3 linked regions of the Callithrix jacchus genome follow. The protein of the gene in region 1 purifies or fractionates together with the protein of each later gene. This does not show direct contact. Links are inferred from orthologs where the notes say so. Each region holds a gene or a part of one and is shown in the gene's direction. Other genes may lie near its edges.

What was found. The genes of interacting proteins can lie anywhere in the genome.
Region 2: the proteins of POLR3B (region 1) and POLR2F purify together in Homo sapiens (affinity purification with mass spectrometry; 5 studies listed by BioGRID and IntAct, with this or other methods). This does not show direct contact. The link is inferred for Callithrix jacchus from reciprocal best matches to the Homo sapiens genes POLR3B and POLR2F.
Region 3: the proteins of POLR3B (region 1) and UXT purify together in Homo sapiens (affinity purification with mass spectrometry; 3 studies listed by BioGRID and IntAct, counting the BioPlex papers as one, with this or other methods). This does not show direct contact. The link is inferred for Callithrix jacchus from reciprocal best matches to the Homo sapiens genes POLR3B and UXT.

What each region holds. Positions count from the first base shown.
Region 1 is NC_133510.1:109,296,658-109,304,815, forward strand, and holds part of POLR3B (DNA-directed RNA polymerase III subunit RPC2), read left to right. Parts: intron 1-2,250; coding exon 2,251-2,412; intron 2,413-5,329; coding exon 5,330-5,530; intron 5,531-7,367; coding exon 7,368-7,530; intron 7,531-8,158. UniProt on the Homo sapiens protein: Catalytic core component of RNA polymerase III (Pol III), a DNA-dependent RNA polymerase which synthesizes small non-coding RNAs using the four ribonucleoside triphosphates as substrates.
Region 2 is NC_133502.1:208,953,923-208,962,147, forward strand, and holds the start of POLR2F (DNA-directed RNA polymerases I, II, and III subunit RPABC2), read left to right. Parts: upstream 1-2,446; 5' UTR 2,447-2,601; coding exon 2,602-2,663; intron 2,664-5,506; coding exon 5,507-5,576; intron 5,577-6,018; coding exon 6,019-6,149; intron 6,150-8,225. Other genes in the region: C1H22orf23 (UPF0193 protein EVG1), read right to left, coding at 1,542-1,641. UniProt on the Homo sapiens protein: DNA-dependent RNA polymerase catalyzes the transcription of DNA into RNA using the four ribonucleoside triphosphates as substrates.
Region 3 is NC_133524.1:48,731,515-48,739,772, reverse strand, and holds the start of UXT (protein UXT), read left to right. Parts: upstream 1-2,712; 5' UTR 2,713-2,775; coding exon 2,776-2,805; intron 2,806-8,258. UniProt on the Homo sapiens protein: Involved in gene transcription regulation. Acts in concert with the corepressor URI1 to regulate androgen receptor AR-mediated transcription. Together with URI1, associates with chromatin to the NKX3-1 promoter region.

The sequences.
Region 1 (8,158 bases):
TGTGGTCTCCGCCCTGTTGCTACAGGCTATGCCCTGCTGCGGAGTCTCTCTATTGTACCGGGTTGCCTCGGCAATGGCAGGCTGCATCAGCAATGGGCGTGTACCTCAGTAGGGGCTGATTGCCTCAGTAATGGCGGACGCCCCTCCCTAACGGAGCTGCGCTTTAAGAAAACCTCCTCACCGGGAGCGTTTGGAATCGCCGTTTTGTTTGTCACACTGCGCTACCCCAAACGCTGTGTCCCTGGGATTTCCTGGGCTGGCTCACTGTCCAAGTCCCGTTCAGTCTCAAGTTCAGCTCTCTCAGGTCTCAGTTTGCCGGTTCAACAGGGCACCCATAACAGTGCGCTTTTGTATGGAGCGCTGTGGAGCGCCTCTGCACTCCGGCGTGGGCCGCAGCCGCAGCGGCTGCCGGCTACACCACCCAAGACCTCTGCCTGGCGTCCCGCGTCTCTTTTACACCTGGGAATTTCCCCGTTTTGTGGGCAGCTAAGATCCGTCTGGAAATGCGTCCCCGACTCACCCTCTCCGCGCATCCAGCGAGAGCTTCAATCCTGGGTTGTTCTCACAGCGACATCTTAAGTCCTCCTACCATCTTTTATTTCTTTATCTTGTCCTATGGAACTGGATGGCACCTCCAATACAGTGTTGAATAGGAGTGGTGAGAATGGGCAGTCATTTCTTTTTCCCCCATTTTCTAAAGGAAAGTTCTCAGTTTCCTACCCCTTCCCTGTGGTATCTGGCCCTTGCTGTGTATCATTGCAGGATCTTTGCCCAACAAGTTTTCCTGCTCCTACCCTAGGGTAAGATGCTTCTCCCTTCTCTTCCCTCTGGCATTGTACCTTTTCCTGGAATCAGAGGGTTTGGCTGGTCTTCTTCCAGGGGTAGACTGTTGTTGCTCGTTACTGTAGGTACAGAGCTTGTTGGGAGAGCAGGGAGGATTTGGTACAGAGTTTTGCCTCTGAGAGCAGGTTATTTTTGTCTGCTGGGACTTTGCTAGGCAGGAGGGTATCCTTCCCCTTCCCAGGGACTTAGGTGTTACTTCCTATGCAAGAAAGCCTGGGGAAATAGGTAGGGTTTTATTGCTTGTGTTCCAGCAAAGGGGTCTTTCTCAGGTCTTTTGCCTCACTGCAGCCTTTCATGAGCACTCCACAGAGAGGAACTTTGAGTGGGTGTGGACACTTCCTGTGCCGGGGCTTTAGAAGAATTCAGAACTTGTGTGGCAGTCCACATTTGGCCTTTAAGAAGTCCTTAAAATTTAACTGATTCCTTCTTTTACATTATATTGCATCCTAACTTTCTTTAAAGTTTAACCACTTAATTGTACCTTCCTAAACAATATAATGTAGTTGGGCTGGGCTTTGAACTTTATATAAATGGAATCATGTCATATATATGTTGTTTTATGTCTGGTTTCTTTTGCTGAGTATTTGTTTTTAATACTCAGCCATGATTTTGTGGTTATTTTTTGTTCATTTTCATTGTTTCATATTGTTTCATTGTATGAGTATACCAGAACTTGTCTACATATTATTTGTATGGTTTCCAGATTTTAGCTGCTACAAATAGCTAATATAAATAAGCTTCTTGAGTGCCCTCCTCCTGCCCGCAGCACTGGCATCTCCTGGGAGCTGATTAGACATTCACATTTGTGGGCACTACCTTAGACCTACTGAGATAGAAATTGTAAGAGTAGGGCCTGCAGTTTCTGTTTTAATCCCCTGGAGTGATTACTGCAAATGCTAAAGTTTGAGAACCACTCCTATAGTAGGTATACCTAGGAGAGGAACTGTTGGGGCATAGGGATGGGCAGATAATGGCAAACTGTTTTCTAAGTGATTGTGCCAATTTACATCTTTACCAATGATACAGGAAACCTCTTGGCTATCTTCAGAGTTTTTCATGGTAATTCTTCTCTCTACATCCTTTTTAGTTTTAATGTATAACTTTATCTGTAAAATTAAAAATTAGGTCATTGGTCAATGAAATCTAAAAGTCTGGAAGGACTGGTCTAGATGAAACAGCTTTGAATGCAGTGATGATATCATCTTTGCTTTCGTTTAAATACCTAGCACAGTGTTAAGCACGTAGAAAATTATGTACATATCTATTAAACTGAATTTGAGAATACCTATTTTTTCTGTTTTAAGCAGTTTCTCCATCTTATTTTTTTAAACTCTTAAGACCTAAAGTTTATTAAAATAATTTAGCAATGCTTTTTGAAAAATCACCATATACCTTTTATTTTTTTAGCTTTTATCTCTTCTTTTTGAAGACTTGTTCAAAAAATTTAATTCTGAAATGAAAAAGATTGCTGACCAGGTGATTCCTAAGCAGAGAGCAGCCCAGTTTGATGTTGTAAAACACATGCGCCAAGACCAGATCACCAATGGCATGGTGAACGCTATTTCTACTGTAAGTCTCCAGTCACTCTTTCAGCATTTTCTAATTTACCTGGAAGTCTGTTCAATGGAATGGAAACGTAAAGCACTTGGAGAATCCAGGTGAAATATATATATATTAAAAGGAATGTTTACAAAGCACACATTTTTACTTTGAAAGAAAGTCTGAAGTGTCATCAATAGGAATTTTCTTATTTATAACTTTCCTGCGAAATTATAGTTTCTGTTATATGAGGCAATAAGAAAATAGATACTGATGCGTAGCGGAAAAATCTTCATTTAACTGTTAATAACCATTCTTTTAAAGAAAACTTTCCTCTTTTACTTCTGTAGTAAAATTGACACATTTCAGACAGGTTTCTTAGTTAGCAACCTTTTGTCCAAAATAATACAAAACGTTTCATTTCACAGGAGTTTTATATTCTTCAAAGACCTATCAGCTGTTCCTCACATAAGCAATGAATTTAGTTCTGGATGAATTCAGCTCTCGGCAGCTGCTGTGTAGTCAGGGTCTCAGGCTATTCATAAAAGGTTATCAGATGGGTTTTTGCTCCCTTTCTTAAAGCATGACAACTATAGGTCTATCTGATGAAGTCTGGTTCATGTTTTGTATGCCAGACATAAAATTAGTTTTATGGATGAGATTTTGCCCCAACAAAGCATGATATAATCTGCCATGTTGATTCCCTTAATGATGAAAGAATTATTGCAGACTCGCTTCAATACTTGACTTTGGAACTTTATAGTGGGTCTTAGTGGCCCTTGCAATGACAGCTATATCTAAATTTGAGGTGAACCACGCCTTTGTCCCTGTTTAAGCATATAAACTCTGGTGGTCCGAACTTGTCTGAGGTGGATCCTGAATATTTGAAGAGAATCCTCCAAAGAGTGCTTGAACACACTTCTCTTAGAATTACTTTTTCTTGCTTCTTCACCCATGATTTTCAGGTCAAAAGAGCTATTTTAAGTAGTTCTTTTTCCCCTAAATGAAACTGCTTTACCTCCCTGACAGAACTGCTTATTACAAAAATCAGTAGCAGGCCTAGTTACAGGTGTATCCCACTCTAGGCAACAGAAAAAGATCAACCTTTAAAATTCTGAGTTGCTATTAGCAGAATGCTTTTACCAAATATGTTTTCCCCAAAGGACCAGTTTTAGACCTCTTGTGTTTCTCGTCTCTCCCCTTTGTAATACTCCTGCAGAATACAAGAACAAATTCTCTTGCCGAACATCTTGGCTTTACTCCCATCTACTTGCTACTTGCCAACAGCTGCTGCCTTATTTTAGCTGTGTGCTGAATACTTATTTACCTTATTTACTCTTACTCTCTGGGCATAAGTCAGTTTACTAGATTCATTCTCCCTCCGAGGATAAAAGGAGTTAATGAAATAAGTAATAATATGAGAGGTTAATTTGTGGAATATATATGGTTGCTCTGTTTATTTGCCTTATAATAGAGTTTCTTAGAGCTTAGCTCTTTTCCACATTTCAGAAACTTAAGGTTCCAAAGTGATCAATCTTGACTGTAATAGTGAGCAAACTTTAATTTGTGAGGGAGCTCCCCCAAAGTTACATATTTTAATGCAAAAGATCACCTAATCGTTTCCTGAAACCCTAGCAATTTTTCTGCTACAAGGGTTTTTAATCTGGAATCCACAAGAGTCCAAAATGAATATTAAATTTTTGTTCTTGTTTCTATGTGCATTTTTCTCAAGAGAACACTCCTAGCTTTGATTGGGTCCTCTGAGGAGGAATGGAGAACCATGGCAGGTGCAGTTGTTCTTTTTGGAACTAGAAAACTTGAGTCAACAATTCTGTTCACATATTATTGTCTGCTTTGCTTTTTTTTTTTTAACTGAGACAGGGTCTTACCTCCAGGCTGGAGTACAGTGGTGCAATCTCAGCTCCCTACAGCCTCTGCCTGCCTTTTGGGCTCAATTGATCCTCCCACCTCAGCCTCCCAAGTAGCTGGGAGCACAGACATGTGCCACCACACCCAGCTAGTTTTTGTATTTTTAGTAGAGACGAGGTTTTGCCACATTGGCAGGTTAATCTCAGACTCCTGACCTCAAGTGATCTGCCCACCTCAGCCTCCCAAAGTGCTGGGATTATAGGCGTGAGCCACCACACTCAACCTGTGTTGCTTTTTTGATGAATACTGTTTTCTACTATTAATTCATGTTACTATGAATTTACATTTGAAAAATTTTTGACCTTAATCTGTAAGTTCTCCTTGAGGATATTTTCAATATATACAATTATAAAATAATATGTTTAAAATAATATAACATTTAATGCATAAGAAGATAAAGTAAATTTATTATTCAGGATTTATTTCATATGAATCTATTTTAATAATGATACAGTGGCCACAGAGAATATATATTTCTTAATATGAATATATATACTATTTTTAGATTCCTTAAACCTTGATTAGGAAGCCATCAGTTTGTTCATTATCCCAAATAAGTGCTATCAGAGTTATTTTTCTGTTGCTACATTTTGCTATTCTTAAGAGTAACTTTGGAAAACATCCAAATAATCGCACATTCCAACATGAAATGATCTCTTTGTTGCTGGTGTTTTATCAGTTAGTTTATGACTTCCCATGGAAATCTCTGGTCGAACTGGCTTTTCAGTATAGAATTAGTTCCTCAGAAGGTGACTGCTCTGATATAGTAAGGTTGATGCATCAGACACTTCTGAGATGGTTGCTAGACATAGTAATGTTCATTATCTTCCTAGAAATCCCCAGTGAATGACTTGACTAAGTTTTCATTTTAATTGTGATGCTTTGATTTCTGAATATGTGCATGGTTCTAATTTCGAAAGCATGAAATTCCTGTAATGAACTTCCTGTAGTTACTGCACAGTATCAGACAACATAGGATTGGATTAGGAATAGTGTTGTGTCTTTCATCTCCCTACAGGGAAACTGGTCTCTAAAGAGATTTAAAATGGACCGCCAGGGTGTGACCCAAGTGCTGTCTCGCTTGTCATATATATCTGCACTGGGCATGATGACAAGAATCTCTTCCCAGTTTGAAAAAACAAGAAAAGTGAGTGGTCCTCGCTCCCTCCAGCCGTCTCAGTGGGGAATGCTCTGTCCTTCAGACACTCCTGAAGGAGAGGTAAGGAATCTGAGGAGTCTTGATGCTGTGTCAGAAGTGATACCTATGTCTGTGCATAGTGTGGGGTGGGTGTGGTCCCTTTCTGTTCCTATCTCCCAGGCCATATCCTTTTTTGGTCTGCCATTTATCTGGCAAAGAAATATTGACATGCTTGGAAGACTGCCTTAGTGTCATTCTAAAACTAGGACCTGCAGAAGCATTTGATTCAGTAAGTTAGCTAAAAGTAATACAGTCCATGTTTCTCTTGCTTATTTTAGTTTATCCCAAAATCAAACCATGCACAGAAGGAATAAGACTGTGAAGGCAGATTGAAAGACCTATCATCTCTCATGCTCATGAGAAGCTCTTTTTGAGCAGCTCCTTATTGTCCTTAGGTGGGCTCAGTCACAGCCAATTAGGAGTATACAGTCCATTACCTAATGTGGATTCTAACTCACTTATATTGGAAACACAAGCAATTGCCTAAACACCAAGCCAGGGAGTTTACATTGGTTTACTTCTATACCACCCGCTATTCTCTGTGTCATGGTCCTTTCTCCTTTGTGTTAATATTGTTAGTTTCACTTGATTTTATTCCTTCTAAGTTGTAAAATCTGGAAGAAGGGAGGTTCACCATTGTATCTCAAGCTCCTAACACAGAGGCTTGGTTAGAGTAGAGGCCCCATGAACATATGCTGAATTAATAACTTAAGTTATGACAAGTAAAAGATGTAGATTCCAAAGTGTAGGGATTTGTTATTATTTGGAAGAGATGAAAATAGGAGTCTGTGTAGAGTTGTGGTTTTTATAAATTATTCTTCTAATTTATCTTAAACCATATGGAAATTGACACTAAATTATGCAGTTTGTCAAATTTTTTATAATTTATATATCTTAAACTTTGAAACATTTCATTTCCCAGAAATTGTTTCAGCTAACTTCAGCAAAGTAGCTATTTTGTGCATTACTGCAGCAGATGATTTTAAGACTTGTAGATAAAATCTTACAAATCATCTGTCTTTAAGTATTTTTTTCTATTCACTGTATTCTGTCCTTGTTGGTATTTTTGTTTTAGAACTTTGCGGAATGTATAGAAGTTTAAAACCACTTATCTCCTTTTCATTTTGAAATAATTTTAGATGTACAAAAAACTTACAAAACTAGTATGAAGATTTTCCACAATCCTTCATCTAGATTCCCAACTGTGAACATCTTACATAACCATAACACTGTTATTAACCTCATGAGACTGAACAATACTGTAATCTATGGATCTTATTCAGATTTTGCCAGTTGTCCCACTGTTGTCTTCTTTCTGGTGCAGAATCACACATTGTTTTTAGGTGTCATGTCTCCTTGTCTCTTTTAATCTGAATGTATTTTTCAGTCTTTCTTTATTTACCTTTCATGACCAAGAAACTTTAGGATACTGGCCAGTTATTTTATAGTCTCTCATTTCAGGCCAGAAGTTTTATATTTTTATGTAGCTGCCTTTATTAATGTTTTCCTTTACTTATTTTATACAATGTCATAATGACTGTAATGTTCCATTGTCTGGGAGTAATTGTTAATATAATCAACTTGTTGGGCACGTCACCATTTATAATTACAAATAGTACTGTGCTGAGCATTTCTGTAGCTAAATCTATTTTATATCCTTGCTTGTTATGAAGATAAATTCCTCTGAGTTAAAGGATATATATTTTTTAAAGGCATTTGTGTGAATCACCAAAGTGTCCCCTACAAAGTTGTACCACTTTGCATTGCTGCCAGCAAAGTAGTGAGCTATTTTCAAATGCAAACTGTACTTTGTATTACTAATGTTCGTTCTTAGAAATGGCTATCTTTTGTTTTTTAGGCATGTGGCTTGGTTAAAAACCTGGCCCTTATGACACACATCACAACTGATATGGAAGATGGACCTATTGTTAAATTAGCCAGTAATTTGGGAGTAGAAGATGTGAATTTATTATGTGGGGAAGAGCTCTCTTACCCAAATGTGTTTCTTGTCTTTCTTAATGGTGAGTATATTATAGAGACGTGTTGATCCTGGATAGTCTGTAAAGAGGGGGAGGGAATCCATTATTATCCTGATATTTAAAGCACAAATACACTTTAATTCTGGGTCCAAGTTGACCTTCACCTAAAAGTAGAAAAAGCAATGGTAACAGAAACAGTTACTTTATTGGCTGGGTTGTCCAAGGTTCTGAGAGGATATAGCTGTTAGAGCTAAAGGGTAACATTGCAGAGAGTGGCTGCTTTCTGCCCTTTTGCAGTTGCTGGCTTATCCATAATGGAATAAGTTCAACATGGTATCTTTAAGTGCAAGTTAAATATTGGAGTCACTCTGCAAAAATTATCAGATCAACTCTTACAGTGAATTGACTGTTTAGCTGTCTGATCATCAGTATGTCAGCAGCCTGTGGTAAGAGGGTCCCTCTCCTTGGCTCACACTCCAGTTACTTCTTTCATATACCTCTTCCTGCCTCCTTCAAAGTCTTTCAGCCTTAGCAGCAAGTGTATTCTCTTCCTTTCTGCTTTTGATTTGCTGCTCTGTGTGCCTGTCCTCTCACTAGTAAGCTCCATGAGCTTATCCCTTATCCCTTGTCTGTTCTCTCTTCCTCTCCCCCTTCCTCTGACTCTGAGAGA
Region 2 (8,225 bases), on another chromosome or scaffold:
TTAATAAAATTTCTGCCCTCTGTTAACAAATATTTTTTCTTCTTTTTCTTTTTTCACTGTGGTATCCCCAGCACCTAAAACAGAGTCTAAGGCACATTAAAGAGTTAAACATGTTGTTGTTGGTGGGGCACGGTGGCTCATGCCTGTAATCCCAGCTATTCGGGAGGCTGAGGCGGGCGAATCATCTGAGGTCAGGAGTTTGAGACCAGCCTGACCAACATGGAGAAACCCTGTCTCTACTAAAAATACAAAATTAGCCAGGCGCGGTGGCACATGCCTGTAATCCCAGCTATTCGGGAGGCTGAGGCACGAGAATCGCTTGAACCTGGGAGGCAGAGGTTGTGGTGAGCCGAGATGGCATCACTGCACTCCAGCCTGGGTAACGAGCAAAACTGTGTTTCAAACATAAGAAAATGTTGGCCAGGTGCGGTGGCTCACACCTGTAATCCCAACACTTTGGGAGGCTGAGGTGAGCAGATCACGAGGTCAGGAGATCGAGACCATCCTGGCCAACATGGTGAAACCCCATCCATCTCTACTAAAAATACAAAAAAAAAAAAAAAAAAAAAAAGCTGGGCATGGTGGTGTGTTCCTGCAATCCCAGCTACTTGGGAGGTTGAGGCAGGAGAATCCCTTGAACCTGGGAGGCGGAGGTTGCAGTGAGATGAGATCGCGCCACTGCACTCGAGCCTGGGTGACAGAGTGAGACTCTGTCTCAAAAAGCAAAACGTGGTTGAGTAAAAGAACACATGAACACTTGTTCATCACGTTTCAGAGGCTGGAGGTACAGTCGTGAGTTGAAACAGACACGATTCCTGCTGATGAAAGAGGGATAGATGGGACACCAAGTGACTGAGCCCAGTGAAGGAAAATGTGTGCGGGCACACAACAGTCGAGCCTACTGTGGTGGTAAGGAGGAGACAGGTCTTCCCGGGAAAGTTGAAAGTGTGATCTAAAGCATGCATAGGAATTAATTACTCTAAAAATGTTAGTTGACTTTTGGCAAGCTGTAGCACCTTGAACCTTCCCTCCCTCCCCCGCTCCTGCCCACTAAGGTATATGCAGTAGAACTTGGAAGCTTCCTGAACCCCAGGCTCCTTATCTGTAAAGGAAAATAGCAATAATTGCTAAGCCACAGGTCAGGTAGGGGAGAACTGAGTTACAGAGGGTAACTACCATCATTCTTTTCTCATCCTTTAACTCGGGTTTCCACCCGTCCCCCACCTGCCCCGTCCCCCGTTCCTGGACTGACACCAGTCCCTGGCCTGTTAGGAACAGGGCCGCACAGCAGGAGGTGAGCAGCGGGCTAGCGAGCGTCACCGCCTCCTTTCAGGTCAGTGGCAGCCTTAGATTCTCATAGGAGCGTGAACCCTATTGTGAACTGCGCACGCGTGGGATCTAGGTTGCAGGCTCCTTATGAGAATCTAAGGAATGCCTGATGATCTGAGGTGGAACAGTTTCATCCCGAAACCGTTCTTGTCTTCCACGACAGCGGTCCCTGGTGCCAAAAAGGCTGGGGATCGCTGCTTTAAAGCACTGACCTTCGAGCAGCTCGCAGGTCCCCGGGGTGTAAGTGGTCTTCTTGGGGCGGCGCCGGAACCCCGTTGCTTTGGTCACTACTTCTATCTTCTGTGAAGCCATGCAAGGACCCTGAGGAGGGAAGGATGCAAAGACACACCCTCTGTCTCCTATCCCTAATTTCCTCTTCCCCACGCCCACCACCCTAGAAGTCTGGAAGCGGGGATCCAGCCAGAGAATCGTGATGCCGCCATTTAATATCGAGACAGTGCCCAAACCTCCCATCCGGACACAGACAGATACACACACAGAGTCCTCATTCTGACCCAGCGCCTGTGGCAGGGAAGTCCCCTCGGGAGGAAGGCAGTGTTAACATAGCCAGATCAGAACAGTACCCACTGAGAGATATGCCAAAATTGAAATTTCACCCTAAGACCTCCTCTGGGTGCTCCCTTCTCCACATAGAGGTGAGCTCTCGGAGGCGGTGACCACTGCTTTACAGCCGCAGCCGCACCGGTGCCACGTAGAAATCCTACGCGATCTGGGCTGCTAGAGCTGGCAACTAACAACTGTGGCTACCGTGGCTACCATGGTAACGCGCCCACGAGTCAACGCATGCGCCCTTTCTCTCTCGCGCCGTCCTGCCTCCCGGAAGTGATGCCTCTGGGTTACCGCGCAAGCGCAGGATAATCGTGGCGCCGCGCGAGTCGTAGTGGAGCCGTTTGCGGGTCTCCGCGCGGCACTGGGGAGCAGCGGCGTCGCAGAGACTAGGGTGTCATGTCAGACAACGAGGACAAGTGAGTGCGAGAGCCAAGTGGCCTTTGCGGCAACCTCAGAAGGGGCAGATGAGGCAAGGCGTGGGTCGAAGGCGGCTGAGGAGCCTGGCGTCGAGGGGCAACGTCTGAGGGGATTGGCGGCCTGAGGGGGCAGGCGGTGCCGGGGAAGGAAAGGGCGGGGACCCAGGAGCATCGGCCCGACCGGAGACCGGGCACGGGAAGCTCCTGGCTCGAGGGTCCGGATAGGATCCGTAGGAAAGGTGTCTTTCGGTGAGCCGGGCTCTGTGTCATGGGAATATTGAGGTGAATGAGGAATCGTCCCTGCCCTCCACGTGCTCGCTTTCTAGAACAGGGGGCACAGGCCCATAAGTAAGTAAACAGGTCATGGGAGTCGCGTGAGCTTCTCCAGTTCTAGAAGTATGTAATATAGGAGTTCTCCAGAGAAGGGTCTGGGGCAGCTCCACCGGTGGCATTAAATACAAGTCTGGAAGGGTTGGTTGCAGTAATCTTATTTTTATTTTTTTTTTAGACGGAGTCTTGCTCTGTCGCCCAGGCTCTGTAGTGCAGTGGCGCGATCTCAGCTCACTGCAGCCTCTGCCGCCCAGGTTCAAGGAGGGATTCTCTTGCCTCAGCCTCCCGAGTAGCTGGGATTACAGGCATGTGCCACCACATCTGGCTGTTTTGTTTTTAGCAGAGATGGGGTTTCACCATGCTGGCCAGACTGGTCTCGAACTCCTGACCTCAAGTGATCCACCCGTCTCAGCTTCCCAAAGTGCTGGGATTACAGGTGTGAGCCACTGTGCCCGGCCTGGTTGCAGTAATCTAGGTGAAAGTCAGTAGCTTGTGGTAGGGTGGTAGGAGCAGAGGTGGTGAGAAGTGGTTTTGAATTCTGGATATATTATTATTTTAAAAGTAGAGCCAAAAAAATTACCTGTTGGATGTGTGGGCACAAAGAGATTTAGTGTGAAGATAAAAATAAGAAACGTGTGGGATTGCTACAACATTCTCAGTGTCAGTAGAGAAAAGGAGATGACCCGTGGCTGAGCGTTCGGGCATTCAAACGTTGAGTGCTTGGAGGAAAAGAGAAGCCAGGGAGGTGGGGGAACACCAAGAGAGTGAGGTGTCGTTGGAGTCAAGTGAGGAGAGCGAGTGGCCTAATGTGTCAGCTGGTAGATCAGGCTAAATGAGATTGAGAATTGGCCATTGGATTTAGCAACGTGGAGATCATTAATGAACTTGGGAAGAGGGGTTTTGATGGAGCTCTTGGTGTGAAAGGCTTTTTGGAGTGGGATTATGACAGGATGGGAAGAGAGGAATTGTAGACAGTGAGGGACAGCTCTTTCACTTATTTTTGCTTCAAAGGGCACTATGGAATTAGGGCTGTAGGGGGAGGGAGAAGAGAAGGAAGGGTTTTTTTTTTTTTTTTTAGTTGAGGAAAAGCACATGTTGAAATACTGATGGGCCGAGTGGTGGCTCACACCTTTAATCCCAACACTTTGGGAGGCCAAGGAGGGTGGATCACCTGAGGTTAGGAGTTCAAGACCAGCTTGGTCAACATGGTGAAACCCTTTCGTTACTAAAAATACAAAAATTGGCCGGGTGCGGTGGCTCAAGCCTGTAATCCCAGCACTTTGGGAGGCTGAGGCAGGTGGATCACGAGGTCAAGAGATGGAGACCATCCTGGTCAACATGGTGAAACCCCGTCTCTACTAAAAATACAAAAAATTAGCTGGGCATGGTGGTGTATGCCTGTAATCCCAGCTACGCGGGGGGCTGAGGCAGGAGAATTGCCTGAACCCAGGAGGTGGAGGTTGCAGTGAGCCGAGATCGCACCATTACACTCCAGACTGGGTAACAAGAGCGAAACTCCGTCTCAAAACAAAAATTACCTGGGCATGGTGGTGTATGCCTGTAATCCCAGCTACGCGGGGGGCTGAGACAGGAGGATTGCTTGAACCCAGGAGGCGGAGGTTGCAGTGAGCCGAGATTGCGCCACTTCACTCCAGCTTGGGTGACAGAGTAAGACTCTGTCTTAAAAAAAAAATAAAAAAAAGGCTGATGAGAATGATCCAGTAGAGAGGCAAACAGCGATGATGAATGAGTCCTAACAAAATCTGGGGGCAGATGGGGAAAGATTGAAGGAGTAAAATGGAACAAAAGTCTGATTTACTTATTATTATTATTATTTTGAGAAGGAGTGTCACTCTGTTGCCCAAGTTGGAGTGCAATGGTGTGACCTCAGCTCATTGCAAGCTCTGCCTCCCAGGTTCAAGTGATTCTCGTGCCTCAGCCTCCTGAGTAGCTGGCATTACAGGCACCAACCACACCTGGCTCATTTTTGTTTTGTTTTGTTTTTTTTTTTTTGAGACGGAGTTTCGCTCTTGTTACCCAGGCTGGAGTGCAATGGCGAGATCTCGGCTCACTGCAACCTCCGCCTTCTGGGTTCAGGCAATTCTCCTGCCGCAGCCTCCTGAGTAGCTGGGATTACAGGCACCCGCCACTATGCCCAGCTAATTTTTTGTATTTTTTTAGTAGAGACGGGGTTTCACCATGTTGACCAGGATGGTCTCGATCTCTTGACTTCGTGATCCACCCACCTTGGCCTCCCAAAGTGCTGGGATTACAGGCTTGAGCTACCGCGCCCAGCCCATTTTTGGTATTTTTAGCAGAGATGGGATTTTTCCATGTTGGCTAGGCTGGTCTCGAACTCTTGACCTCAAGTGATCCACCTGCCTCAGCCTCCCAAAGTGCTGGGGTTATAGGTGTGAGCCACCATGCCCGGCTGATCCTTATTAAGTAGATATTTATTGAGTGCTTCCTATATAGTGGGCGAGACATATATCTTTGCACTTATTGATTTTTTTTTTTTTTTTTGAGACAGGTTCTTGTTCTTTTACCCAGGCTGGAGTGCAGTGGTACGATCTTGGGTCACTGCAACCTCCGCCTTCTGGGTTCAAACAATTCTCGTGCCTCAGCCTCCTGAGTAGCTGGTATTACAGGCATGGGCCACCATGCCCAGCTAATTTTTCTATTCTTAGTAGAGATGGGGTTTCACCATGTTGGCTAGGCTGGTCTCAAACTCCTGGCCTCAAGTGATCCACCCATTTCCATCCCCCAAAGTACCAAGATTACAGGTGTGAGCCACCATGGTCGGCCCCTCTTTGTTTCTGGTAAGTGATGCTCTAACTAACTGATTTATTCTTCCTGTACAGTTTTGATGGTGACGACTTTGATGACGTGGAAGAGGATGAAGGGCTAGATGACTTGGAGAATGCCGAAGAGGTCAGTATTCAGCCTCAGGCTCCCACCTCTGCAGCCCAAGCTGCCAAACAGTCTGGCAGGTGACAGTAACCTGAATGTATCTGCCTTCTGTTTGTGTTCAGGGCCCCCTACCCGCTGGCGTAAGCATTCCCAGTTAGAGTGAGCTGTGTTCCAGTCTTGCACAGCAGAACAGCCCTGTGGGCTAGGCCTGAAAGCTTTTGTCCATGTGGTCCGCAGCCAGTGGCTTCTGGGGCAGTTAGTTCACTGACAAGTTAAACAGCACCTTCCTGCCTCATAAGGTTATTGTAAGGGACATGAGGTATTAGGAAGCAGTCACCTGGTCCCCTGGCATGCAGTGAGCATTAATGGTGGCAGGAGCGGTGATTATGATTGTTGTCATTATCACCCTCCCTGTAACCCAAAAATGCCACCTGAGATTTTCTCTCTTTTTTATCTTGTCCAGGAAGGCCAAGAGAATGTTGAGATCCTTCCCTCTGGGGAGCGACCACAGGCCAACCAGAAGCGAATCACTACACCATACATGACCAAGTACGAGCGAGCCCGCGTGCTGGGCACCCGAGCTCTCCAGATTGCGTGAGTGATGGCCCCTTCACTGTCCTCTGCATCTCTCAGACCATAGTGAGCTCCTGAGCCACTGATCTTGCCCAGCCCAGCACCTGAACGTAGACTCTCCACTCTCACATTCCAAAGGTGGTGCTGTCCCTGTGTACCAGGCATTGTGCTAGGCCCCTGCCCTCAGGGAGCTTGTGATCTAATAGGAGAACTAGGACTTGAACATCTGAGAAGTCAGGTAACAGTATGGGAGAAAAATGATACAAAAATCAGAACTGGATGGTTGCCCAGCAGATTAGTGAAGCAGAAAAAGCGTGAAGTCAGAGTCAATGTGTACCCGTGTTTTTTTTTTGTTTGTTTTTTGAGATAGAATGTTGCTGAGTCGCCCAGGCTGGAGTGCAGCGGCACAATCTCAGCTTACTGCAACCTCTGCCTCCCAGGTTCAAGTGATTCTCATGCCTCAGCCTCCCAGGTAGCTGAGATTGCAGGCATATGCCACCAAGCCTAATTGTTGCATTTTTAGTAGAGATGGGGTCTCGGCATGTTGCCTTGGCTCGTCTTGAACTCCCAGCTTCAAGTGATCTGCCTGCCTCTGCCTCCCAAAGCTCCGGGATTACGGGTGAGAGCCACGGGGCCTGGCCATGGTGGTTCTTTTTGCTTTATTTTCCTAGTCGAGGCCTCACTCTGTTGCTCATACTGGAGCACAGTGGCCTGATCATAGCCCATTGCAGCCTCAAACTCCTGGGCTCAAGCGACTTTCTTGACTCAGCCTCCCAAGTGGCTTCAAGCTGGGACTGCAGATGTGTGTCACTATGCCTGGCTTTGTATTTTTTTGTAGAGATGGGGGTCTTACTGTGTTGCCCAGGCTGGTCTTGAACTCAGCCTCAAGTGATTCTCCTGCCTCAGCCTCCCAAAGTGCTGGAACTGAGATTACAAGCATGAGCAACCACTCCTGGCTTTAAGGTGGTTTTTTTTTTGAGATGGAGTTTCGCTGTTGTTACCCAGACTGGAGTGCAATGGCACGATCTCGGCTTACCACAACCTCCGCCTTCTGGGTTCAAGCAATTCTCCTGCCTCAGCCTCCCGAGTAGCTGGGATTACAGGCGCGTACCACCATGCCCAGCTAATTTTTGTATTTTTAGTAGAGATGGGATTTCACCTTGTTGACCAGGATGGTCTCTTCTCTTGACCTCATGATCCACCCGCCTTGGCCTCCCGAAGTGCTGGGATTATAGGCATGAGCCACCGCCCCCAGCTAAGGTGGTTCTTGATGTGAGGTAGACTGTGGCCAGCCCAGCAGACTGGGGGCCCTCCAGCTTGAGAGCACACTGGAGAGATGAAAGCACAGAGTAGTGGTGGGGTTTTGGGGATTTGAAAATCAGTAAACTTTCTCTCTCATGGCTGGGAGAATAAAGATTCAGGAGATAGAGTAGACAGGTGGAGATCCAAGTGTCCAGTGAGTGCAGATGAGTTAGCCATAGGCAGTGCAGGCCTTCAGATGACTACTGAGGTTTGGGGCAGAGTAGAGAATACACTGGAAGCACCCTCTCCCAGCAGATGGCTTTGAGAATGCAGGGACTTTCAAAGAGGTGGGGCCACAGATGCCTGCTTTTCCCCCCAACCCAGGCTCACCTGTCGGAATAGTTACTCCTGCTTTCTTGTGAAGAGTAGGTGAGAGGACAGAGAGGGGTACTCTAATGGTACTCTGTGGGGAAGCATGAGACTGAGGACAGGAGCCCCTCCCCCAGACTCCTTATAGGCTGTTGTGGGAAATGGTGGGTATCTGGAGGAGGAGGCGTAGTTCAAGTAGGGAAGAGTGGAAATTAGTCTAGAAAGAAAAGCAGCTGGGTGTGGTGGCTCACACCTGTAATCCCAGCACTTGGGGAGACCGAGGCAGGAGGATTGCTTGAGTCCAGAAATTCAAGACCAGCCTGAGCAACATGGTGAAACCCCATCTCTGCCAAAATACAAAAATTAGCTGAGTGTGGTGGTGTGCTCCTGTAGTCCTGGCTACTTGGGAGGCTGAGGTGGGAGGATCACCTAAGCCCAGGAGGTTGAGGCTGCAGTGAGCTGTGATTGCACCACTGCCCTCCAGCC
Region 3 (8,258 bases), on another chromosome or scaffold:
GGCTTCAATGGAGAAGTCTACCAAACATTTAAGGATTTAAATAAAAATTAGTACTCATTCCACACAATCTCTTCCGGAAAATAGAAGAGAAGGCCAGGCACAGTGGCTCACGCCTGCAATCCCAGCACTTTGGGAGGTCGAGAAGGGTGGATCATGAGGTCAAGAGATCGAGACCATACTGGTCAACATGGTAAAACCCCATCTATACTAAAAATAAAAAATTAGCTGGGCGTAGTGGTGTGCACCTATAGTCCCAGCTATTCGGGAGGCTGAAGCAGGAGAATCACTTGAGCCTGGGAGGCAGAGGTTGCAGTGAGCTGAGACTGCACCGCCGCACTCCAGCCTGGCGACAGAGCGAGACGCCATCTCAAAAAAAAAAGAAGTAGAAGAGGAGAAAATAGTCCCCAACTCATTCAATGAGGCCAGTATTACCCTAAAACTAAAGCCAAACAAGGCCAAGAGCAGTGGCTAACACCTGTAATCCCAGCACTTTGGGAGGCTGAGGCAGGAGGACTGCTCGAGCCCAAGAGATTGAGACCAGCCTGGGCAACATAATGAGACACTGTTCACAAAAAAATAATAAAATTAGCTGGGTGTGGTGGTGTGTGCCTGCAGTTCCAGCTACTCAGGAGGCTGAGTTGCAAGGATCACTTGAGCCTGGCAGTGAGCTGTGATCACACCACTGCACTCCAGCCTGAGCAACAGTGAGATTCTGTCTCAAAAAATACAAAATAAAACCAGACAAAGATAGTATAAAAAAGAAAACTATAGACCAATATTTCCCATGAACTTAGATGCAAAAATGCTTAAAAAAAGCATTAGCTAATCAATTCCTGCAATATATCCGAAGAATTATGTATCACAACCAAGTAGGGTTTATTTCAGGAATGTAAGGCTAGTTTAATATTCAAAAATCAATCAGTGTAACCCTCCATATTGGCAAGCTAAAAAAGAAAAAAAAATCACAAGATCATAAAAATTCAGATGATGTTGATGAAATTCAACACCCATTCATGATAAAAACTACCTGCAAATTAGGAATAGAGGGGAACTTCCTCAAATCAAAAAAGAGGGTCCAAAAAAGGAAAGCCCTACAGCTAAAATCATACTTAATGGTAAAAGGCTGAATATGTTACCCCTAAGACTGAAAACAATGCAAAGATGTCCACTTTCACCACTCTTATTCAACATAGTACTGGAACTTCTTGCCAGTGTAACAAAGGAAGAAAAGCAGAGGTACAGAGATTGGAAAGAAAGAAATAAAACTATCCCTGTTTGTATATGACACAATTGCCCATGGAGAAAACCAAAGGAATCTACCAAAAAAGGTGTAAAACCTAATAACTGAGCTCAGCAAGACTGCAGGATACAAGACCAACAGACAAAACTCAATTGTATTCCTATATATAAGCAGCAACTTAAAAGAGAACACCATTTACGACCACTCCAAAAAAATTAAACACTTAGGTATAAATTTAAATAAGACGTGTACAGAACTTGTGTGATAAAAATTACAATATACCATTGACAGAAATTTTTAAAGATTTAAATAAACAGAGACATACTATATACATGGATTGGAAGATTTGTCACAGTTAAAACTTAACTTCTTTCCGAGTTGGTAAACATGTTTAATGCAATTCCTATCAAAATCCAAGCAAGATGCTTTGTAGATAGAGACAAGATTTTCTAAAATGTGTATGGGAAAGGCAAAGGAAACAGAGGCATTAAAACACTTTTGAAAAAGAATAAAGTGCGAGGAATCACTCTATCCAATTCAAGACAGCATGGTAGTACTGGCAGAGGGATAGACACATAGACAATGGAACTGAATCGCAAACCCAGAAAGAGCCCACACATAAGTATGGCCAACTTATTTTTGACAATGGTAAGACAAGTCAATGGAGGAAAGATAGTCTTTTCAACAAATAGTGCTTGAGTCTGGACATCCATAAGCAAGTTAATGCACCTCGACCTAAGTCTCATACTTCATACAAAAAGTAACTCACAGTGGATCACAGACAGCAGTAAGGAGACACGGACAAATTACCATCACAGTGGAGAATTTCTCTCTCCTGAAGTAAAAGAAGAAATAGACAAAAAAGGACAGACTTTATATGACACAATTGACCACTAAATAATTAAATATTATTTTCAAGTATATACAGAACGTTTCTAAAAATGCACTACGCACTAGGCCGTAAGTCTCCTTGTATTTCAAGGAATGAGCTCCACGTAGGTGTTTTTCTAACACAGAAAACTAAGGTTACAGATCCATTACAAAGAAACTTTTGCACACTGAAAACCCCACTTTTGAATAACTCCTCAGTAAAAGACAAATGAATACGAGTTAACACTCTTAAAAAACAATGCTCCAAACCCAATGGGGCTTAGAATGAACTTTAAGACCTTAAGGGTGACATTAGAAAAGAGAAAAGCCTGAAAAACGATGAGCGAATCATCCAACTCAAGTTAGACAAACGATTCCATCACTGACCACACAGAATCGCCTAGCACTCACCCACCCCGGTCCCCCATCACCTCCACATCCCTGGGCACTGAACGTCGAATCCTCCTGACAACTATGTAACCCCGGCTGAGAACCGGCGAGAACCGCAGCCGCTTCCGGTCACTACCCCTAGCACCGCCCTTTTTCGGGGTTTGGGACTTCGCATGAGTGAGGGAAAGGGGGGTCCGCGCGTGCGCAAAACCACGTTTGAAGCCGCTAATAGCCAGGAGTTAACATGGAGAAATTACGGAAGTGAGGGGTTTGGGATGTTCGGTGCCCCTCCGCGACGTGTTCAGGTAGGGAACATGGCCGCGCCCAAGTCGCGCTTCCCCATGGGGTACACCATGTTGGAGTAGTGTCCATTCCGTATTGAGGATGAGGACACCTCTAAACTCACAGAGCAGGGAGGTGGAGCTGTCCCGCTGATGGCGGGAAGCACGGGTGGGGACGTTTCTCTGGGCGGGCTTACTGGAGGAGGGGTCTTTGGATCTGTAGTCTATGGGTCCGTTCGATACCGTTCAGAGAAACTGAAGGGCCTCTTGGAAAGAATCAGGGGCGGCCGCGGCTATCTCCTGGCAGATACCACAGGATGAGAAGCGGGGAGATGTCACGTTGACTACAGGCTTCTCCTAGGACATACCACAAGGGAAGGAGGAGGAGAAATCAGGGTTGTGCAAGCCTTCCTAGGATATGCCATGAGGTGGGAAAAGGGGAGAACTCGGAGTGCGGGGTTCTCCCTCCTGCTGTGCCTGTGGGTCTTGGATGCGGGGTTTTAATGCTCCAACAATCTACCTGATCTCCCACTCCATCTACCCTAACTAAAAAGGGACTGTGTACCAGTACTGATAATTTTGAATATGTCTTTAGTCTAACGCAGTATGTCAATAAAAATCTTTAGGAAAAGTTATTATCTTTATTTCCTCATGAAGTCAAATCTATATAGTCATGATGCCCTTGCTTTGGAAATGTAGCTTTAATACAAGGCTCTGCTTCTACCCTTCCACCAGTTTGCTGCCCCTTATCACCTCCAATGTGTAAATTCTGGAGATGTCCCTGCCCTGTGGGAGATGTCACTAGAGCAGAAGGGGAAGAAGTCGTGCAGTCCTCCACCTAAGAATGTCTATTCATCCTTCAAAACCAAGTTCAAGTATCTCCTCTCCAGGGAATCTTCCTGACAGAGCTAGAAGCCTGTATGCCCTGCTGAAAGCCTTTCTGTGAGAGGACCCGGTGTAGGCTGAAGTGTGGACTGGCTAGGGGTTCTCCATCCAGTCTTATCCCCTCTGGTCCTCGGTTTAACAATCTCGAAGGTTAGAGGTGTCCTAGTCCAATTAGCCTCAAACTAATTCTTGGTCAGACAGATCCATCAATCAATAAGGGAGACTGCATACCAGGGGCACCATGGGCAGCTCACTAAGCAAAGGAAAAGAGACTTCTTACATGATTTTGAGGAATAGTGGAGTTGAGATGAAATTGAAATGAAGCAATGTTTTAGTGGGCTCAAAGCAGTTATTATTTTTATTTCCTCATGAAGTCAAATCTATATAGTCATGATGCCCTTGCTTTGGAAATGTAGCTTTAATACAAGGCTCTGCTTCTACCCTTCCACCAGTTTGCTGCCCCTTATCACCTCCAATGTGTAAATTGACCCTCTATGTAAAGGGTCAATGTCAGGTCTGGACTGTGAAGTGAACCCAGAGTGCTGTTTCCTTGGAAACAATTTAGTTGTAGAATTTTGTGTCCCCAGATAACTCTTGCCTAAAGCTCTGCACCTGAGTTGAAAATTGAATGTTGCTTCTCCGGAAGTGACTTGGAATCTCAAGAGTCTGATGTTTCACTCTTACTGATGTAATTTCAAACAGCAATTTCTGATAGTCTATGATTGTAGAGAACAAAGTGTCTCCATGACTAAGGAAGCAATAGTCACCTAAAGTAGGGGTTCTTTATGGCATTAAAACTGCAGCATGTCCTTAGAAGAAATAATGTTTCCTGTGAATTTTGCATTTGGCTTTATATGTGTCTGTTCTTCCATTCTGGTGAATGGCAGGGCACATTTTTATAGTCTGATTTCATTTTTATTTTCTTAGACAATTGGTGTCTTCGTCCATGTTCTGCTTCTATAGGAGAATACCACAGATTGGGTAATTTATAAAGAAAAGAAGCTTATTTGGCTCATAGTTCTGGAGATTGGGAAGTCCAGCATAGTGCCAGCATCCTTCTTGCTGCATTATTCCATGGCAGAGGACGAGAGGGCAAGGAAGCATATGAACAAAGAGCACAAGGGCCTGGGCTCACTTTATAACAACCCACTCTTGAGTTAGTTACTCTTGGTAACTAACTCACTCCCTTAATGACAGCATTAATCAGTTTATGAGAGTGGAGCCTCCATGGCCTATTCACTTTTTAAAAGCCCCACCTCCTAATGCTGTTACAATGGCAATTTCAATGTGAGTTTCAGAGGAGACAAACATTCGAATCATAGCAGTTGAACTTTGATTATCCCAGCTTGTCATTCTGCCCCTGCATCCCTGGTCTGGGCAAATGTTTGTTGAATGAATAAATGAAAGAAGAAATTGAATCCGTGGAAACATATTTGGCATGCATACACTTCTAATAGAGTGCCAAGAATCATTGTTAGTTTTCTTGGATGTCATAATAGTACCAAAAAAAAAAAAAAAAAAGCTCTGTTAGACCACTTCAGAGAAGAAGGAAATGTAGAGCCAGCATATAAAGAGATGTTCAAAGTCATTAGGAAAATACAAGTCAAGACGTAATAAAATGGTATTTTAAACCCATTCAAATTGCAAAAACGTAAAAGTCTGACAGTACCAACAGTTGGAGAGTATGTAGGCCAACAGGATCTTCTTGCCCTGCTGAAGGAATGTAAATCATTGCAAACACTTTAGAAAATATTTTCGCATTTTCTCCTACAGTGAATACATACATACCTTACAGTCCAGTGAGTCCACTCTCATGAATGTATCCAAGAGAGACACTTGCACAAGAAACCTAGGATATGCCTGTTTCTTAGTCTGTTTTCTGTTGCTTACAACAGAATACCTGAAACTGGGTAATTTCTAAACAAAAACAATTTATTTCTTACAGTTATGGAGGCTGAGAAGTCCAAGGTTGAAGGGCTGCAACTGGTGAGGGCCTTCTTGCTGGTAGGGACTCTCTGCAGAGTCCCAACGTAGCACAGGGTATCACACAGTGAAGGGACCGAGCATGCTAGCTCAGGTCTCTCTTCCTGTTTTTATAAAGCCACTAGTTCCACTCCCATGATAAGCCATTAATCATTTAACTCATTAATCTACTAACCCATTAAGGGGTTAACCCATTAGTGGATTAATCCATTCATGAGGGCAGGACAGAGACCTCAACACCCACTCACCTCTTAAAGGCCCCACCTCTCAATACTGCTACATTGGGAATTAAATTCCAACATGAGTTTTGGAGGGGACAAATATTCAAACCATACCAGCATGGCATCCTGTTCACAACAGCAAAACCTGGAAACATAAATGGATGCTCATCAACAGGAGTCATAATGAATGAACTAGAACAACACCCAACAGTATGGATGAATATTAAGGAGGAGGAACTATAATCCCAAAAGATTATGTAAAGCATAACACACTTTTTATAAACTTAAAAGCTACTACTATAGGCTGGGCGCAGTGGCTTATGCCTGTAATCCCAGCACTTTGGGAGGTCGCGGTGGGATGATCTCTTGAAGAGAGGAGTTCAAGACCACCCTGGGCAACAAAGTGAGATCCCCATCCCTACAAAAATTTTAAACATTTGCCAGGTGTGGTGGTGTGTACCTGTAATCCCAGTTACTTGGGAAGCTGAGGTGGGAGGATCCCTTGAGCCCAGGGGTTCAAGGCTGCAGTGAGCTATGACAGTGCCACTGCACTCCGACCTCGGTGACAGAGCAAGACCCTGTCTCTTAAAAAAAAAAGCTGCTAATATAAAGGATATGAACTATTTAGGATTTTGTGTAGTTGCAATCAAATTACATTAAGAAGAAATTTAAAAACAATAAACTTGGGATTCAGGATGATATTTACCTCAGTTGAGGGTGGGGGCAAGGCAACGAATTGGGGGACTACATGGATAGATGGAGGTTATCATCAAGTTCATACCTTTTTTGGGGGGTGGTAGGTGCATATATTCATTCATTCATTCATTTTAGAGACAGAGTCTCATTCTGTCGCCCAGGCTGATGTGCAGTGGCACGATCATAGCTAATTATATTATTTAAAGTAACTAAATATTTAAATCAATTGGGAAAATTAAAATGTTAGATAATGTGATGGTTAATACTTGATTGGATTGAAGGATGCAAAGTATCGATCCTGGGTGTGTCTGTGAGGGTGTTGCCAAAGGAGATAAACATTTGAGTCAGTGTGCTGGGGAAGGCAGAGCCATCCTCAATCTGGGTGAGTACCATCTAATCAGCTGCCAGCACAGCCAGGATATAAAGCAGGCAGAAAAATGTGAAGAGGCTAGACTGGCTTAGCCTCCCAGCCTACATCTTTCTCCCATGCTGGATGCTTCCTACCCTCGAACATTGGACTCCAAGTTCTTCAGCTTTGGGACTCGGGCTGGCTTCCTTGCCCCTCAGCTTGCAGACGATCTATTGTGGGACCCTGTGATCATGTGAGTTAATACTACTTAATAAACTCCCACACGTATATATGGATGAATATATATATATAAGGGACAGATATTTCTAGTATCTTTACAATGTAGAGGGCAGCAAAACACATACATCAGAGTCATTTTCTTGAAACATTAATGATTCCCCCAAAAGACTCCGCAGGCATCTCTGGATGAAATGACTACTATAATAAAATTAATCTGATAAGATAAGTAATGCATGAGATACCAAAGAGGTGGAGAACTTATAACTTAAATACTTGGTGAATTGACCATCAGGTACTTGATGTTTAGTGCAACAAAACAGCCCCCAAATCCCTAACTTCATGGAGTTAACATCCTACTAGGGAATAGAGGCAGTAAGCATTTTCAAAGAGTAAATTATAAAGGTGATAACTGCTAACGAAGGGATGTGATAGGGAGAGATATGAGTTGAAAATGCTGGGGGAACTGCCACTTTATGTTTTTAGTTTTTAGTTTTAATTTTTTTTATTTTTTAAATTTGTGTGGGTATATAGTAGGTGTATATATTTATAGGGCACGTAAGGTATTTTGATACAGGCATGCAATGTGAAATAAGCACATCATGGGGAATAATATATCCATCCCATTAAGCATTTATCCTTTGAGTTACAAACAATCCAATTACACTCTTTAAATTATTTTAAAATGTGCAATTAAGTTATTGACTATAGTCACCCCCATTGTGCTATCAAATAGTAGATCATATTCATTCTTCTAACTATATTTCTTGTGCTCGCTAACCATCCCCACCAGCCCCTGATTACCCTTCCTAGCCTCTGGTAACCATTCTTCTACTCTCCATCTCCATAAGCTTAATTGTTTTGATTTTTAGATCCCACAAATAAGTGAGAACATGTGACGTTTGTCTTTCTGTGCCTGGCTTATTTCACTTAACATAATGATCTCCAGTTTCATCCATGTTGTTGCAAATGACTGGATCTCATTCTTTTTATGGCTAAATAGTACTCCATTGTGTATAGGTACCATGTTTTCTTTATCCATTTATCTGTTGATGGATGGTTAGGTTGCTTCCAAACCTTAGCTATTGTAAACAGTGCTGAAACAA